Anolis sagrei: one gene and its partner. The protein of the gene in region 1 purifies or fractionates together with the protein of each later gene. This does not show direct contact. Links are inferred from orthologs where the notes say so. Each region holds a gene or a part of one and is shown on either strand. Other genes may lie near its edges. The genes, in order: NUAK2 and PPP1R12A.

Evidence for each region.
Region 2: the proteins of NUAK2 (region 1) and PPP1R12A purify together in Homo sapiens (affinity purification with mass spectrometry; 3 studies listed by BioGRID and IntAct, counting the BioPlex papers as one, with this or other methods). This does not show direct contact. The link is inferred for Anolis sagrei from reciprocal best matches to the Homo sapiens genes NUAK2 and PPP1R12A.

What each region holds. Positions count from the first base shown.
Region 1 is NC_090024.1:194,149,384-194,158,838, forward strand, and holds the start of NUAK2 (NUAK family SNF1-like kinase 2), read right to left. Parts: upstream 4,510-9,455; 5' UTR 4,428-4,509; coding exon 4,248-4,427; intron 1-4,247. UniProt on the Homo sapiens protein: Stress-activated kinase involved in tolerance to glucose starvation. Induces cell-cell detachment by increasing F-actin conversion to G-actin. Expression is induced by CD95 or TNF-alpha, via NF-kappa-B.
Region 2 is NC_090025.1:148,567,201-148,576,285, reverse strand, and holds the start of PPP1R12A (protein phosphatase 1 regulatory subunit 12A), read left to right. Parts: upstream 1-4,582; 5' UTR 4,583-4,794; coding exon 4,795-5,031; intron 5,032-9,085. UniProt on the Homo sapiens protein: Key regulator of protein phosphatase 1C (PPP1C). Mediates binding to myosin. As part of the PPP1C complex, involved in dephosphorylation of PLK1. Capable of inhibiting HIF1AN-dependent suppression of HIF1A activity.

The DNA of each region.
Region 1 (9,455 bases):
AAATTGAAATTGTGATGAGGCACCCCAGTGTCTGCTGGAAATTTAATTTGCCCCGAATAGCAAGGGAACTTTGGTTCTATTCTGATTGTCTGCAATCTCCTTTTGTGAGCTGACTTGCCTGCACCTAAAGTGAAGCCAGCCACAAAGGCAAGGAGTGGCAGGACAGGAAATTTATGCCAGATCAATAAGAGTAAATGCGTTGGGGCTGGTAAAGCGGGGAGAAATAAATATAGCTGCAAAGGACTGCTTGCTTTGTCCTCAGATTTCAAGGAGAGGAAGGCAAACACTAGACTACGATTGTTGAATTGTGTGATTTTGAAGCTTATATTGATATGTTTTTAATTTCATGTTTTAATGTTAAATGATGTCATGGTTTATGATTTAATTGATAATTGTATGTTATTATCGTTATGTTAGGTTTCTGTATGTGAGGCATTAAATTCTGCCATAATTATGTTGGAAATTGCTTTGTGTCCCCCACTGGGGTGAGAAAAGAGGTATACAAGTGAAGTAAATAAATAAATAATGAACATTTGCCGAAAGGGGCCTTATACTGTAGTTCATGGGAACTCTCTTTTTAAAAAGGTAACATGCTACCATGAATGCAGACCCTAAAGCAGTGGTTCTCAACCTTCCTTATGCCACGACCCCTTAATACAGTTCACCCTCAACCATAATTTTTTTTGTTGCTACTTCATAACTGTAATTTTGCTACTGTTATGAAATGGAATGTAAATATCTGATATGCAGGATTTATTTTAATTCACTGGACCAAATTTGGCACAAATACCCGATATACCCAAATTTGAGTGCTGATGGGGTTGGGGGGAGGAGGAATTGATTTTGTCCTTTGGGAATTGTAGTTGCTGGCATTTATAGTTCACTTGCAATCAAAGAGCATTCTAAACTCCATCAACGATGGAATTGAATCAAACTTGGCACACAAAAGTACCATAAAAATACTGGAAGGGTTTGGTGGGAATTGACCTTGACTTTTGGAGTTGTAGTTCAACTACATCCAGAGAACACTGTGGACCAAACTTGGCCCAAATGTGAACACTGGTGGAGTTTGGGGAAAATAGACCTTGACATTTGGGAGTTGTAGTTGCTGGGATTTATAGTTCACTTACGATCAGTGATCACTGTGAACCCCACCAATGATAGAATTGGGCCAAACTTCCCACACAGAACCCCCATGACCAACAGAAAATACTGTGTTTTCTGATGATCTGGCAACCCCTCTGACACCCCTTCATGACCCCCCCTCCCCTCCCCGCAGGTTGAGAAACACTGCCCTAAAAGGGGGGGGGGGGAACCAAATGCATGCCAGTGAATTTGCCACCATCAGCAAAGGGAGAAAGTCAGCCTGGCAAGAAAGCTGAGAAGTTTTACCAGTCTGGCTCTGAGTTAATTATCTTTAATCCCCACCACTCTTCCTCCTCAGCCAGAATGATTCACAGCAAGCCGGGTGAAGTTTGGCAAGGCCACCTCAACCTGCGCGGGCCTGTCCCCATCCCAGCCAGGTCTGAGCATTCACTTTGCTTTAGATCACATCACTTTTCAGCCTCTCTGCAGTTTGCATCACCACACTCACTTGTGTGAGTGTGAAGCAGCCTTGTTTCCAAGTTTTGGCAGATACAGAAGAAATAAATGCATCCAGAGCCAAGGCTCCCTGCAGTGCAGAGACCTGAACTAGCCTTTATTATCTTTTCAGCACTATCTCTCATTAGAAATAACGCCTTTTCCTCCCCAATGTTACCAGATAACATGCACACAAGGCCCACTTTCCCCAGGAAAACAGTGAGGTTGATGTCTGAAGAACCTATAATATTGAACCCAGGACCAGAGGGTGTCTCTACACCAGGCATGGGCAAACAGCTTAAGCGGCTGAGGGGGGAAAGGGAAGGGCCTGAGGCTGTTAGGAATGGTGGGAGTTGAAGTCCAAAACACCTGGAGGGCCCAAGTTTGCACATGTCTGCTCTACACTGTTGAACTAATGCCATTGCGCCTCACTTAACTGCCACAGCTCAATGGTATAAAATCATGGGAGTTGTAGTTTAAGAATATATTTAGCCAGAGTTCTAGTACCTTACCAAACTACAACCCTAAAGCAGTGACCAACTGCATTCATTCCACAGTAGAGATGCAACCAGTGCTGGATGCTTTGGCAGCTCTGGCCAGCAGATTAGCCTCTTGCACCACTTTTTTTGATTCCCTCCCTGCGGAGAGGTGGAACAATTACTCTGCAGTATCATTAAATATGATTAACATGTATTTAGGCAAGTCATTTCTTCAGTCAGCCATGCCTTTGCTTTCCCACCTACGCCTGAAAACCTTCCCTGCAAGGATGGTGAATGGGATCCTCCCTCCTACAGACCCCCATAATGCACGATTCTCACTGCTTCCATGGTGGGGTTTTCTTGGCAAGATCTCTTCAGTAGACCTTTGCCTTCCTCTTTGCATTTGCAGAATCAGTGCAGTTGGATGCCATTTGAACTGCCATGGCTCAAAGCCATGGAAACCTGGGAGTTGTAGTGAGGCACCAGCACTCATAGAATCATAGAGTTGGAAAAGATCTCATGGGCCATCCAGTCCAACCCCCCGCCAAGAAGCAGGAACATCGCATTCAAACCACCCCCAACAGATGTAGAACTACAATGCCCATGATCCCTTGACATTGAGCCATAAGAGTTGGGATTGGATTCCAACAGCATTAATTTTATAGTATTGAGCATGACAGAGAGTGACTCAGGGGGTTTCCATGGCTGAGCAGGGTCCCAACACTCTTAGCCCTTACACCATGCAAGCTCTTGTTACTCAGGGGCAAATCCAAGACATCCACTACAGGTATCTTTCCCGACACCATCTTATGAGCCCTCATAAAGGTCCCCACTTGAACTGCCAGGTCTTGGGCCTGTGGAATTTGGGGTGAGAGATGTGTGTGTGTGTGTGTAAATATCCTATAAAATGTATTATATACATATACACCTTGTAATAATAATTATATATAGAGAGAGATGTAATAATAATACACACCTAGTAATAGTAATGTGTATATAAATGTATTATATAGAGGGAGGAGGAAGACCTAATTATTGTTCTATTATCTTGGGCCTATGGAATTTGGGGTGAAACACACATACACACATTAATGTGTGTGTATAAATATCCTATAATATACACCTTGTAATAATAATCTTATATATATATATATATATATATATATATAATTTTATATAAAGTCCTAATAATAATAATACATACCTAATACCAGCAATGCAATAAAAACCACACACACACACACACATGGTACTCTTCTATTATTTTGGGGCTATGGAATTTGGGGTGATATATAGATATAGTGTGTGTGTGTGTGTGTGTGTGTGTGTATAAATATGCTATAAAATGTATTATATGCATCCTGCAATAATCATCTTATATATACATATAATTTTATATAAAGTCCAAATAATAATAACAATACACACCTAATAATAGTAATGCAATAAAGACCTAATAGCTATCTATCTATCTATATATAGTACTGTTCTATTATTTTGGGGCTATGGAATTTGGGGTGAGATAGTGTGTGTGTATAAAAAGTATTATATGTATATACACCTTGTAATAATAATGTTATATTCCTAATAATAATAACACACATCTAATAATAAAGACCTAATTATAGATAGATAGATAGATAGATAGATAGATAGATAGATAGAACTGTTCTATTATATATGGTACTGTTCTATTATCTGGTGGAGGAACATCTGGTGGATATGCTTAATAATAACAATAAATAGTATGTTATATTACATATATAATTTTTTTATTCTTCTTCTGACTACCAGGTCTTTAGCCTTCTCTGCCAAAGCGTGCTGGTGCCTCTCCAAACTCCCACCTCGCCTGGATTCCTCAGCACTGGGCCATGGCAGCCAAAGCGGTGCCAAACTGCATCCATCCGACAGTGCAGGACAGAGGCACCCTGAGCCTGCCTCTCTCTCTCTCTCTCGGGCTGCAATCCGGGTGCGGAGAGGATGCGCGCTCCAAGACTGCCCAGAGGCTGCTGGTGCCGCATGGAGGGGGGATTTCTTTCCTTGTGGGCGGAGATGCAGAGGGCTGCGAGATTCCCTGTGGGACGTCTCTGGTTAGGAGAGGGGAGCGGGACAGAACTCTCCTAAACAAGACACCGGAGTGGCGGGGTCCTACCCTAGCCCGCCCTCCCTCCTTCCCGCCTTCCTTACCAGTTTCCCGGAGCGCTCCCTGGCCTTCTTCACCTTCCCGTAGGTGCCTTTGCCCAGCGTCTCGAGGAACTCGTAGTGGCGCCGGAGGTTGTGCTTGTGGTAGTGCCGCTTCACGGCTTGCCTCTTGGCCGCGGGGCCCTTGGCGGGCGGAGGGAGGGCGGCGGCAGGAGAGGCGTCCATCGCCCGCTGGCAGGCAGGGAGGCAGGGCAGGCTCTGCGGGGACAGCGCGCGAGGCAAGGCAAGGCATGAGCCGGCTGGGGATCCTCTGCCCATAAATGCGAGGAACCTGCCCGCCGCGGGCCCGCCCTCTCTGCAGCCATTGGCTGCGGCGGCCCACGTGACCCCCCTCCTCCTTTGCAAGGTGGGAGAAGCCGAGGGAGGGGCGGGGAAACCCTCTCTTTGTGGGCATTCCCATTCATTTGTTTTAGGATCCCAGCCTGAGTGAGGGATTTGCACCTTCCATCTGACCGTGGATGAAATGGTGCAGCCAATGGCACCCTCTATCACTCCCTTTTTTTGAGCATCTAGGGACCTCTTCACACTAGACACTCCCAACCTTCCTAATACCACAACCACTTAATACAGTTCCTCATGTTGTGGTGACCCTCAAGCATAACATTATTTCTCTTGCTACTTCTACTGAATTGCAATGTAAATGTCTGATATGCAGGATGTATTTTTCATTCACTGGACCAAATTTGGCACAAATACCCAATACGCCCACATTGAATACTGCTGGGGTTGAGGGTGGATTGATTTTGTCATTTGGGAATTGTAGTTGCTGAGATTTATAGTTTACCTACAATCAAAGAGTATTCTGAATTCCAAAAACAATGGAATTGAACCAAACTTCGCATAAATACTCAATATGGCCGAATGTGAACACTGGTGGAGTTTGGGGGGAAATAGACCTTGACATTGGGAGTTGGAGTTGCTGGGATTTATAGTTCACCTACAATCAAAGTACATTCTGAACTTCACCAACGATGGAATTGAACCAAACAGGGCAAAGAACTCGTACGTCCAACAGAAAATACTGGAAGGGTTTGACCAATCTTGGCACACAAAACTTCCATGACCAACAAAAAACACTGGAAGGGTTTGGTGGGCATTGACTTTGAGTTCTGGAGTTGTAGTTCACCTACATCCAGAGGGCACTGTGGACTCAAACGATGATCAATTTGGACCAAATTTGGCACAGATACTCAATATGGCCAAATGTGAACACTGGTGGAGTTAGGGGAAAATAGACCTTGGCATTTGGTAGTTGTATTTGCTGGGATTTATAGTTAACCTACAATCAAAGAGCATTCTGAACTCCACCAATGATGGAATTGAACCAATCTTGGCACACAGAACTCCCCTGGCCAACCGAAAATACTGGAAGGGTTTGGCGGGCATTGACCTTGAGTTCTGGAGTTGTAGTTCACCTACATCCAGAGAGCACCATGGACTCAAACAGTGATGGATCTGGACCAAACTTGGTATGAATAGTTAATATGGTCAAATGTTAATGCTGGTGGAGTTTGGGAAAAATAGACCAAGACATTTGGGAGCTGTAGTCACTGGGATTTATAGTTCACCTGCAATCAGAGCATTCTGAACCCTACCAATAATAGAATTGGGCCAATCTTCCTACACAGAACCCACATGACCAACAGAAATGCTGTGTTTTCCAATTGTCTTTGGTGACCCCTCTGACAGCTTCACACGACCCCCCCCCCCCACCGCCAAGGGTCCCAACCCTCAGGTTGAGAAACACTGCACTACAGAATGAATCCATTTAAAATCTGGTTGCTGCCTCCTGCAGAATTCTGGAGTTTGTAGTTTAGGGAATAGCCTTTAGGGAGTAGCCTTTAACTGCCTCCCTAAACTACAAACCCCAGAATTCTGCAGGAGGCAGATTTAAAGTGTATTCATTTCCTAGTGTGATGAGGTCCTAGGAGTTCATCTATATACACTGGATTTAATGCCGTTTGACAGCACTTTTAGCTGCCATGGCGCACTGCTATAGAATCACAGGATTTGTATTTTTACAAGATCTACTTTGCAAGGTGTTGTATGTCATACTAGGACCCTGAAAGCAGAGATATGTCTACACCAGGCATGTGTAGGATTAGACAGGAAGTAGGTGACAGCCCAACAGGAGATTACTTTCCCATTTCTAGCAGTCAGTGTCTGCATAATCCATGCTGCTTGCTTGGAATATATAGAGAATGTTGCTCTGGACCAGGCATGGGCCAACTTCGGCCCTCCCGGTGTTTTGGACTTCAACTCCCACCATTCCTAACTGCCTCAGGCCCCTTCCTTTTCCCCCCTTAAGTGGCTGAGGGGGAAAAGAAAAGGGCCTGAGGCTGTTAGGAATGGTGGGGGATGAACTCCAAAACACCTGAGGGCCCAAGTTGGCCCATGCCTGGTGTAGATACACTCCATGCTGCCCTTGTCTTTGTGATGGCAGATGGGTTTCGCATTCTTTCCATAAGCTTTTGTTCTTCCTAATAGGCAGGGCTTTGTTTCTAATTTTGACTCATCTCACTATCTAATCAAGCTATCATGCCATTGTTGTTTCTTTTAAAAGGTAAGATCCCACTTGTTTTTTCTATTTTGTTCTAGTATTTACCCTGCAGAAATCCACATGCCACTCATTCCTCAGGGTTGGGATGCTACACACAATTTATTGCCCTTAATGTAAGAGGACTCAGTGGGAAATTTGATGGTAATCATTGTGAGTGATTCTTGAGATATTAGTAAGACTAATATCTCTTGCAAGAATTTTTATTTAATGATTTATTTACTTTATTTTTATCCCGCCTTTCTTTTGATACAGGGACTCAAGGCACCACTAATCAATATGACACAATGCAAATTAAAACAGCGTAGATACAAATTATGAGTACAAAAAACCCTTCTATGTGTCAATAAACCATTAAATATTTTTTAAAAATTTAAAAAACTTTTTTTTCATGTCAGAAGCTACTTGTGAAACTGCAAGTTGCTTCTAGTGTGAGAAAATTGGTCGTCTGCAAGGACGTTGTCCAGGGGACACCCGGATGTTTTGATGTTTTATTATCCTTGTGGGAGGCTTCTCTCATGTCCCCACATGGGGAGCTGGAGCTGACAGAGGGAGCTCATCCATACTCTCACTGGATTCGAACTTATGACCCGTCACTCTTCAGTCATTAAAGTACTATACAGCAACAACAAAATCCAGATCCCACCATCAATACACAATTCACATGGATTTGAAATAAAATTTCTCATATCTGAAAGGTTTATGCCAGATAAAACGGATATCACATTTTTCCTTGAATTCATGAAAAGCAGATTAATGAATGAACTCACATGATAATTTGTATAACTTCTTTGTTCAACTGATTTCTTTGGAAATACTGTCTCAATAAGGATTCTGAGCATCTTTAAGTAACTATGTTGATTTCTGCAAGACACAGTTTCACAGCCTGAGATTTCTCTTGCATTCATAGCTGAGCCTGGAACCCCAGGTCTTGGGGGTGGCCAGGGCAGCATTTGAACAATTAAAACTTGTGCACCAGCTGCGCCCATATCTTGAGAAGCCAGACTTGGCCATGGTGGTCCATGCTCTTGTCACATCCCAACTAGACTACTGCAATGCGCTCTATGTGAGGTTCCCCTTGAAGACTGTTTGGAAGCTTCAAGTGGTTCTATGGGCCACAGCCAGATTCCTCACTAGAGCAGCATACGGAGAGTACACAACCCCCCTGTTATGTCAGCTCCACTGGCTGCTAGTCTGCTACAGAGCACAATTCAAAGTGCTGGCTTTATCCAATAAACCCCTAACGCTTCCGGCCCAGTTTTCCTGTCCAAACATCTCTCTCTCTATGAACCATAATGGAGATTAAAATCTTCTGGGGAGGCCCTGTTCTCGGTACCGCCTTCTTCACAAGTGCGACTGGTAGGGACGAGAGACAGGGCATTCTCAGTGGTGGCCCCTCGGCTGTGGAACTCCCTCCCCAGTGATATTAGATCAGCCCCCTCCCCCCTGGCCTTCAGAAAGAAAATGAAGATGTGGCTTTGGGGCCAAGCCTTCAGATAATAATTGTAATGCAATAAATTGATACAGAATATGTGCAATGACTACTGGAGTCGCTCCGGATTATGATAGTGGATTGCATGGTTTTAATAGCTGGTGTAATGTTTAGATGTTTTAATTTTTGGTTGTAATGTAAATGTTTATTTTAATTGTATGTTGTTTTTATGGCATTGAATTGTTGCCTATGTATAAAGCCACTCTGAGTTCTCATCAGGGTGAAAAGGGCGGGATATAAATATGGTAAATAAAATAATAAAATAAGATTTCTTCTAAGTAAACAGATTTAGGCTCATGCTATATGCTTATTCACCTATTCATTTTCCCCAATGAATGCAGTTATTTCTCCTCACCTGGCACTTTCCACAGGTATTGGACTACAACTCCAATTATATAAAAATAATGAGAGTTGCTATATAACACATTTGTACTTATCTGGTCCAGACATATGTGGACAGTACTTACATCTTTAAAAAAAGATTATTAGTCTGCTTTTAATCACAACCAAATGTTATACACTAAGGAATCATATGAAAGCTATTATGTGAAGCTCTTTGTTTCTACAAAGACCTGTCCTAAAGCAACCTTTTATTAGTTGAACATTTCCTATGTATGCTTATTCAAAAACATTCCCAGTGAGTTCAATGAGCATGTGATGTCAATATTAATATTTGAAGTGTCCTGTGATCATGGGATATTTTATTGTGGCTGAATAAACTCTTGCTGGGTTAAAAGCCTATATGTGTATTTAATATTAAAAGTATGCTCGGTGACTAAATTAAACTATTCTATACATCTTCTCTTTCTTTTGAGATAGTCCTTCTGGGATAGAGAAGGATAAAACTACAAAGCTTTCTCAGTTTGTATGTGTGTGTGTTGTAGAGTTGCCTTCCTGTCTTATTTGTATTAACCATTTTGTGATAATGGAAGTCTTGGGAATTGCATATATTTCTTTGAAAATCTAAAGACTAAAAAAGAAAAACTCTGCAGAGTGCAATTTTCCCCTTCCTCCCAAGTTTCTATGAGCAACTTAAGAATAGATGGAAGGACGGCCAGTTGCCACATTGTGGTTTCAGTTCTTAAAGAGGAAAGTTCCAAGAGCAGTCAAAACAAAAGCTTCAGCGTGACTTTGGCATGTGAGA
Region 2 (9,085 bases), on another chromosome or scaffold:
AACTGGGGTGACACAAGGGTGCATTTTAGCCCCTTTTCTCTTTAACTTCTATATAAATGACATCGTAAACACATTATCCTCTGACAGTCTACATGGTCCTAAAGTTTTGTCCAGAACTATTAACATCCTGCTTTACGCTGATGACATGGTGATTATGGCAACATCTCCAGTGGGACTAAGAAGATCCCTGGCAAAATTCAATGTGTACTGTGAGCTAAATTCACTCACTATGAACAAGGATAAATCCAAAATTATAGTCTTTGGAAAAAACAGGAAACGGTACACGTGGTCCCTGAAAGGCATACATTTGGAACAAATTAATTGCTACAAATATCTAGGCATTATGTTCTCTTCGTCTGGTGCTTGGGCTAACCACATTGCTCATAGTATACAAAGAGCAACGAAAGCAGCAGGTTCCATTTATAAGCTGTACCATCATAGATACCCAGGCACAATCAGACCTGCCCTGGAAGTCTTTAAAACAAAAATAATGCCAGCACTTATATTTGGGGCTGAAATTTGGGGGCACATCAATCTGGCTAAGATTGAAGCCTTCCAAGTGAAGCAGCTTCGCATCTTCCTGGGCCTTTCCAGAACAACGCTGATGGCGGCAGTAAGGGCTGAGCTAGGAATACTCCCAGTAAAAGCTCAAATTCTAATGAGACAGTCTAATTACTGGTCAAAAGTAAACTCTATGGATCCCAGTAGACTTCCTCGCCTATGTCTAGAGGATCAAGTCCAGCATGACCAGAAGTCATCGTGGATGGCGGCTCTAAATAATGAGCTGGCTGGATTCGGTCTGCCTTTGCAATTTCTGGGTGTTCTGGGTCTGGGGGCAGGGCAAGTGCTCAAGCGGCGCATTAGGGATGTCTATGCACAGCTGGACCTAGAGAGCATAGGTAGGTCTTCAGCCACAAGGTTTTTAGCTTCCCACAAAAGGAATATTCATTTAGAGCACTACCTAACTATTCCACTTCCTCTACCCTTAAGAAGAACATATACTAGGGCTAGGTTTGAACAACTCGGTACTATGGTGCAAACCGGGCGTTACTGTAACATCCCAAGAAGTGAGAGATTCTGCGTCTGGGGAGAACAAACAGTGGAAGACATTGAACATTTCTTAATTGACTGTCCAGCATACACCGATCTGCGAGACAGATATTTACATCTAATATTATCCAACTGCAGGTCCCACAACAGAAATGATATTCTGACATCCCTCTTGCAAGGGCAGGAAAGATCCAACATAATCAGAGTAAGCCTTTTTATTCTGAAAGCCATTAAGAAAAGAGCAGATTTCCTGAAAGAAGAACCAGGAAAATAAGAGTCTGACTTATCTCCTTGTTGCCTTGTTTGTTTGTTTTTTACTCGTGTTTTACTTTGAAATGGTCATATGACTGATCAAATAAATTATTATTATTATTATTATTATTATTATTATTATTATTCACTGCAGTGCAATGCCCCCAAGACCCATTCCGGAGAGCCGCCCCAGAAGTATACCATGGTTGATGACATTGAAATCTACTGAGATGTCCAAGAGAACCAAAAAGGACACATTTCCCCATCAAGCTTTCTGCAGAGGTCCTCAATCAAAGTGACCTAAGTCATCTCCGTTATGTGACCAGGCCTAAAACCAGACAGTGACAAATCAAGATAATCGGTTTCATCCAAGAATGCCTGGAGCTGAAAAGCCACCAGCTGCTCTAGAACATTGCCCAACAAGGGGAGGTTAGATATGGGCCAGTAGTTATTTAATATCGAGGAGTCCAGGGAAATGTTAAGAAGGAAGTCATTTTATTCAGTCACTGCCATGGTAAGTTTTGAAGATGAAGGTACTCAGAAAAGACCCTCTCATGCCTACCTCAGCTATTCAGCAGTCCTCCAGGTCATTTCCACCAAACTTTCATTGCTGTAAAGTTCAAAATCATTCCCTTGAATTATACCCAGAAATAGCAATGGTCCTTTAGTACAGATGTGTACACTCATAGTACATAGGCAATCCTTGCCCACAGTCTGTTTTATTGTGTGTTAGTTGAGGCTCCTCAAGATCTCACACATATGTGACATTGGACTATTTTTTATGTTGGCTTTAGTAATACAAGCAATTTTAAACTGATTTTGATATTTAAAGCATAAAATGGCTTAGACACTGGGAAAGACAAGCATACCAGTATGAGTCAGCTTATTTTAAAAGGTTTGATGAGCACAATAAATCATCACCTTACATTAATATCTAGTTTTGCTCATTTAAACAATGTCAAATGTTTTTTCACAGTACTGCATTCTGTTTTCTTTCAATATGGGAGACAATTATAGCCGGTTTTTACACTTAGAAACAGGGCACAGCCATTACTTCTTTTTTATCAAAATATCAAGATGTCACTAAATCATTATTCTAATGTCTCTTTTTGCCTTTTAAAAAATTTACATATATGGTAAGCCCTCTTGATCCACAGATTCAACCATCAACAATTGGAAGATATTTTAAAGACCCCAAAAGAAAACCCTGGCCTTATCATTTTACATAAGGGATACCATTTTTCTATTCCATTGTATATAATGAGACTTGACTATCCGTTGATTTTGGTGTCCACAGGGAGTCCTGGAACCAACTCCGAGTGGATACCAAGGACCAACTATAAAAAGATATTCAAGAACATAATTTCTCATGCCTAGGCCCAGAAGTGTTCTGTATTTCAGATTTTAGTATACTTGCATCTCTCTCTCTCTAGTAGTTTGAGACTAAAATCTGAAGACAAAATTCATGTATGTTTCATATAATCTGCCCATCACATCAACAAGTGTCCTCTAGCAATCTAGGTTGTCTAGCATGACTGTAGTTAATTTCTGCTGGAAGTTCACCATACAGTTTGCTCTGGAGAAGCTAGAAATTCTTAGAGAAATGGTTCTTTAGAAAAAAGCTATTTACGGTTTCCCCATTTTCACACATACCAACTCCAGTGATGCAGAGGGCTCACTTAGATGCATCATTGGAGCAGAAGCTAGTGACAAGGTGTCCACAACTCTGAATGGGATTACACTGGATCAGTTTCAATTGGTGAATACTGCTGATGTGGACAAGCTGCGGAGGCAAGTAAGGATGACAACCTGCTTTCTTGATCCCTGCCTTTCTTAGCTGGTTGTCCAGAGCCCCTGGTGGCACAATGGGTTAAACCCTTGTGCCAGCAGGACTGCTGACTGACAGGTCGGCAGTTTGAATCCACGGAGCAGGGTGAACCCCCGTCTATCATGTGGGGACATGAAAGAAGCATCCTACAGGATGGTAGCAAATCCGAGTCCCCTGGGCAAGGTCCTTTCAGATGGCCAATTATATCACATCAGAAGCAACTTGCAGTTTCTCAAGTCGCTCCTGACACAAAGGAAAAAAAACACCCTGGTTGTCCAGGGAAGAGATGCAATTCAATCTCAAGTACAACAAATGATCAATGCATCTCTCTGAGAAAGGAATTTTCAGTCCTGTTTTAAAGAAGCAGTAGTTAGACCACTGCTGAAAAAGCCCTCCTTGGATAACCTTAATAGCTACAGACCAGTGTTTAACCCTGTCTCTGAAGATGCCAGCAAAATATCAGGAGAAAATGCTGCTAGAACATGGCCATACAGCCCGGAAACCACACAACACCCCAAAGTTATTATTATTATGATACCTTATATACATACATAGCCTAAAGGTAATTTTATACACATTTTAAAATAAGTTTGTGCATGAATTTTTAGTTTGCATATACTGAACCATTAGAAAACAAAGGTGTCTCGGCCATACAGAGGCAATTTCAGAATTTGGAGTAGATTTTGGCAAAGTGGTGCTTAAGCTGTATTATGAAAATCTTGAGACAATCCAAATCGTACAAATGGAATCCTAGCGTTGGAAGAGACATAAGCCATCTAGTCTAACCTCCTGCCATGCAGGTATAACACAATCAAAGAACTCCCAACAGATGGCCACCCATCCTCTGTTTAAAAGCCTTCAAAGAAGGAGCCTACTCTCCAATGTTGAAGAACTCTTATGGTTGAGAAGTTCATCTTCATGTTCAGGTGGAATCTTCTGACTCTTAGGAAGACAGCAAAACTCTAAAACTACCACAGAATTTGCTTGTTTTTTGTGCCAATGGGCTTTTCCTCTCGATTTCCTCAGAGGACTTCGCTCCCCCTCAAAAACAGCCTATTCTAAGAGAATCCAGGAAGCACGCGAGGAGAAGCTCCATTTCCACACGCCCTTATTCGGAGCTGAGGGAAAATAATAGATCAGCTCCGAGCCCCATCAAACTACAAAGGACTTAGGCAGACTATGACGGGGCACTCAGTTCCCGCTTCTTTCGACTATTTGGAGGCGTGCTCCTGAGTCTAAACTGAGGGGGCGTCACCACCATCGCCCCCTCCCTTCCTTCCTTTCAGCCTCAATCTCGTCAAGAAGTTAACTTGACTCGCGGGACTTTATATACATGAGGGAGATCTCGCGAGGTTACGTCTAGGAAGCCGGGCAAAGCCACGCCCCCACGCCCGCCTGAGGCGACTGGATGAGCCACTCAGGAGACCGACCGGGGCGCATGCGCAGACGAGGAAGGGAGGAGGGGGAGGCCGGATTGTAGTGGGAAGAGGCGAAGCAAGAGGGCGCCGGCTGAGAGGGTGCCGCGGTGCTTTGTGGGAGACAGGCGGTGCTCTGGCTTCTCCGCCTCTTTCTGGTCTTGGGTGCGGAAAGAGAGAGAGGGAGAGTGGGGGAAGGAAGGAAGGAAGGGAAGAGGAGAAGGGGACCGAGTACCGAGCGGGCAGGGCATGAAGATGGCGGACGCCAAGCAGAAGCGGAACGAGCAGCTGAAGCGCTGGATCGGCTCCGAGACCGACCAGGAGCCGCCCGTGGTCAAGCGCAAGAAGACCAAGGTGAAGTTCGACGACGGCGCCGTCTTCTTGGCCGCCTGCTCCAGCGGAGACACCGAGGAGGTGCTGCGGCTCCTGGAGCGCGGCGCCGACATCAACTACGCCAATGTGGACGGGCTCACCGCCCTGCACCAGGTCAGTCAGCCCGTCAGTCAGTCAGCCCGAGGCCTCGCCTGGCGGGGCCTAGCCTGGGGCGGCCCTGAGGCCTCCCTCACCTCTCCTCGGACGGGAGCCGAGAGGGGACATTCTTCCATCCCTGAGGCGAAGTGGCCTTCGCTGAGGGAAGGCTGGACTCTGCTGAAAGGTGGCTGAGGTGGGCGGCTAGGCCTCCCCCCTATCAAGCAGTCGGGATCTTCTTTCCCTTTTCCTCAGCGCTCTTGGGAACTGGAGGAAGAAATGAGGCTTATTTTCCAAGGGATGGGATCTGGGGGAAGGTTGAAGCGGCCTCCATCCCTCACCCAGGAAGGAGAGAGACCGTCTCCACCTCTTCACATAGGGGAGTGATGGTTTTCCACCCACTTCCAGGCTTCTGAATGGTTGCCACTTCCTGCCTTTAAAGTTTCCCAAATCTGTACACAGTGGGCCAAAAGTCACCTGATGTTTTAATAACTTTCGGAAAAGATTTCACACCTAATTTAATGTCATTGTGTTTCCTGTATCGTACAGTGCTGTGGCATTGTAAGCGACAAACACACAAAAAAGTTATTAAATATTGAAACCCCTTTGTGACTTTTGGCAGTGTGCATGCTGCCTCTTGTCCTTTCAAGAAAATACCTGCAATTTCTCTCACTTTCCTGTGTCCAACTCCCTTCTCCCCAACCGCCTCTGGTTTTTACTTTTTAAAAAAGTTTTTTGATAAAAGTTTCCTCTGTTTTGGGGGCTTGAACTCAAATCCAGTCTTTCCGCCCAGCATACATGACTTCTTCAAAGATGAAAAGTGGCTGTAAAATATTTAGTGTGGATGTCATTGCTTTCTTTGGTAAATCTCTGAAAACTGTTGTTTCGGGGAAGGTAAAATAGTTGTGACGCTTTTCTCAAAATGGATGTTTTGGGCACGTTAAACTTTTATAAGCATCTGATTGGAATCTCCGAATGTTAGCCAAATAAGGAAGGGATGTGGCAATCCGAAGATAATACGGGTTTGCTTGGATGGATCTAGGTTCTGCTAATAGGCCAGGAGCAATAACAATGTTAAGCTCACTGAGTATCAGAAAAGCAAGTATAATCACTTTGACAGTTTGAGTTTTGTTTTGAACGGCAGATGTCCTGGTAGTTCAACAAAGGTGGAGTAATTAGGATGTATTTTTGAATCAGGTAGAAATTCTCTTCCGAGTAGACTGCATAGTTAAGTCCTTTAGTAATCTCTTAAGCATAGATTTCATTTTAGTATTTATTAAAAATTCAAGATGATGAAACAAGCATGAGGGAAGCATTCCTGTTTGTGTTTGTTCAAGATAGCAAAGTTGGCTTACAAGTTATGTATATTTTGTTTTCATTGTTGTGTAAGATGTATAACCAATCTAGTCTACTGAATGAAATATGCTGTTCTTTAGACAATAGGCTTAAAGATATCAAGCATGTCTTATTAAAGGATGAATTGTACTAAGAAGAAATCAAAAAATAATTAAAACTGCCTTTTTAATGGCAAAATGTGGTAAAAGTAATTTCTCTAAAGGCTGACTGGCAAACCTCTGCTGTGTTTCATTACCCTAGAGAAGGGTTGTTGTTTTTTTTTGCTGAGACCATATTTTACTAGGCTACATGTTAATTTATTCACAGGTTCTAGAAGAACCAACATTTATAGAATTTCTTATAATGACAGTAAGAAGATGCTGCTGTAATGGTGAAGATTTCTCTTTAGCCAGCAAATTTCTGTAATAGAATTTCAATGTGTCAGATTTGACTATGTTAGCTCTCTTTTCTGTACCACTGGTGTAATGTCTGTTTAACTATATTACTTTTTAAGTTGTTAGCAGCTTTGTGTCCCAACTGGGAAAAAGTGGGGTACAAATATAACAGCAACATATTTGGCTTTGATACCATAAACAATCCTGGCAATTCTTCTGCTAGCATGTAGATAACTGGAAAGGACAACCCGAAGCTTGGATGACTTACCTTATTTATCAACAAGTCTCATCAACTTTAGTTGAAGTCTACAAGGATATGTAAGATTATAATTTTTGAAAAATGAGAATTGCTTACACTGTAGGGTTAGTAAAGAATGAATTTGCTACTATATCCTATGTGTGACTGTTTTTAAAGTGTAATAAGTGAACTGTGACTCTGTAGTTCTGTTTACCAGTCTTCACTATCTTGGTGTCATATACATGTTTTTGCACTAAAATTGGAGTCACCATAGTCAGTCTGAAGAAGGTAATTTAAAGCTGCATAGAATTGTTTCAAACTTTGAAACTAATAATCTTAGAGTTGCTTGATTAAACTTCTTGTGTATCTAGGATTTGAAAATGAGGAACTACATGGCACAGTGGGGGGGGGGGGGGCTTGCAGCTTTGGATGTTATGTAAAATGAATGTCATGCCATTTAATATCAACAAAATAATATCAGTGCCTGCAGCTTTGTGGGCCCAGTGCGGTTTTCTTAAGTGCCAGCATCCAGCAATTTATTTAATAGGTTACACTAAATTAAACTTGCAGTTGATTAGGTCATGGTAGTTTTTTTTTTTTTTTGTACAGTCACCACAGTTGAAGGAGGTACATATCAGTCCTAGTAAGTTGTGTAATTTAACTCAGATAGTGGGAGGGAAATGCTACTTCTACATCATTTCTGTCCTGCTGGTGTGAGTCTGGCAGGGCTTTGGGTGAGGTGGCTCCTCTGCTTTATTTATTCAGATTATTTATACACTGCTTTTCAGCCACACATGCTTCCAGAGTTTCTTACAAATTATTTATTTGACAGTTCCCTGCCCTCAGGCTTACAGTCTAAATAAGATATGACACAAGGAAGAGAGAATGTTACAGTTCACACCCTACCTGTACAGGATATTGTTCTCTGAATTCTGAGTTTACGCCTTCATATACATAAAGCTAAAATATACTTAATGTAAGGATATGGCATTCAACTAGTGCTTGAATCCTTAATAATATTAATGACTTCTTTTAATGACAACTTAAATTTGGTTGCTGCAACTGCTGACCAAATATATATATGAAGAGTGGACCACTTTCTGTTTGTGCATATCAAATTGAGTTCTGTTTGACAGTACAATCAACAGAAATGGATACAGTAAAATATTTAATTTTCTTAGGGGAAAAGAGCCATAATTTTATTCAGTAAACTGCAATATGTGAATTGGTGCTTTAAGAGAAAGCAGAAATGTGGCTTTCAGTTGGGAATTGTTATTTTTAGTTTTTTCTTTCTGTACCATAACAACATGGTTTTGTTTTTAGAGATAACTTTTGATCTTATCTAAATGGAAAAAATCCAAAGTACTGCTTTCACATAGTTGATGTAAAGTATAATTGGAAGAAGAGCCAACATAGTTGTTGACTGGTGGCAGTTCTAGTTTCGAATTTTGGTGTTTCTAAAGTAGAAGGTTCTTGTGAACAAGTTATACTCAGCATCTGACTTGTCAGTCTTTTTGAGCCAAACTAAGCAAAGCTAGTCCAGAGCTATGGATTATTTTTTGAAACAAACACCCGCCTTTCATGTACAAATAAATCAAACTTTTCTTGATATATCTTGGTATATCTTGTTATCAGAGCCCCCATATGGAAAGAGAGCATTCAGTATACTTGTGCCTTTAATGGTTGAGGTTACTATTATTATGAAGGAAAATAAATGAGGAAAGCTGTAAATCATGTCTGAATGTATTTATAGAAACAGATTGCCTCATATCTATGTGTCTATTGTGCAGATTAGCTCCAGCAAATCTCACTAATCAGAAGTAGTAATAAAGCAGTCTCAAGCAACCATCTGAACTGCTGGGCCTCCTGGCTGACCTCTAGCCTGAGACCTTTCTGTAGAATAGAGACTGTATTCTTGTGCAGTTAAGCTAGAACTGTGTGAAAATGAGGGACAGATTTCCTTTCTTCTACTTGACATGGTCTATTGTATCAAGAACTGCAAGTCCCAGAGTTCCTTGTACATTAGCAGCAGGAAAGATTGATGTCTGGTTGGAAGGGCAAAGCAAAGCACCATAAGACAGCAGGAAAAAGTGCTGCTCCTGGT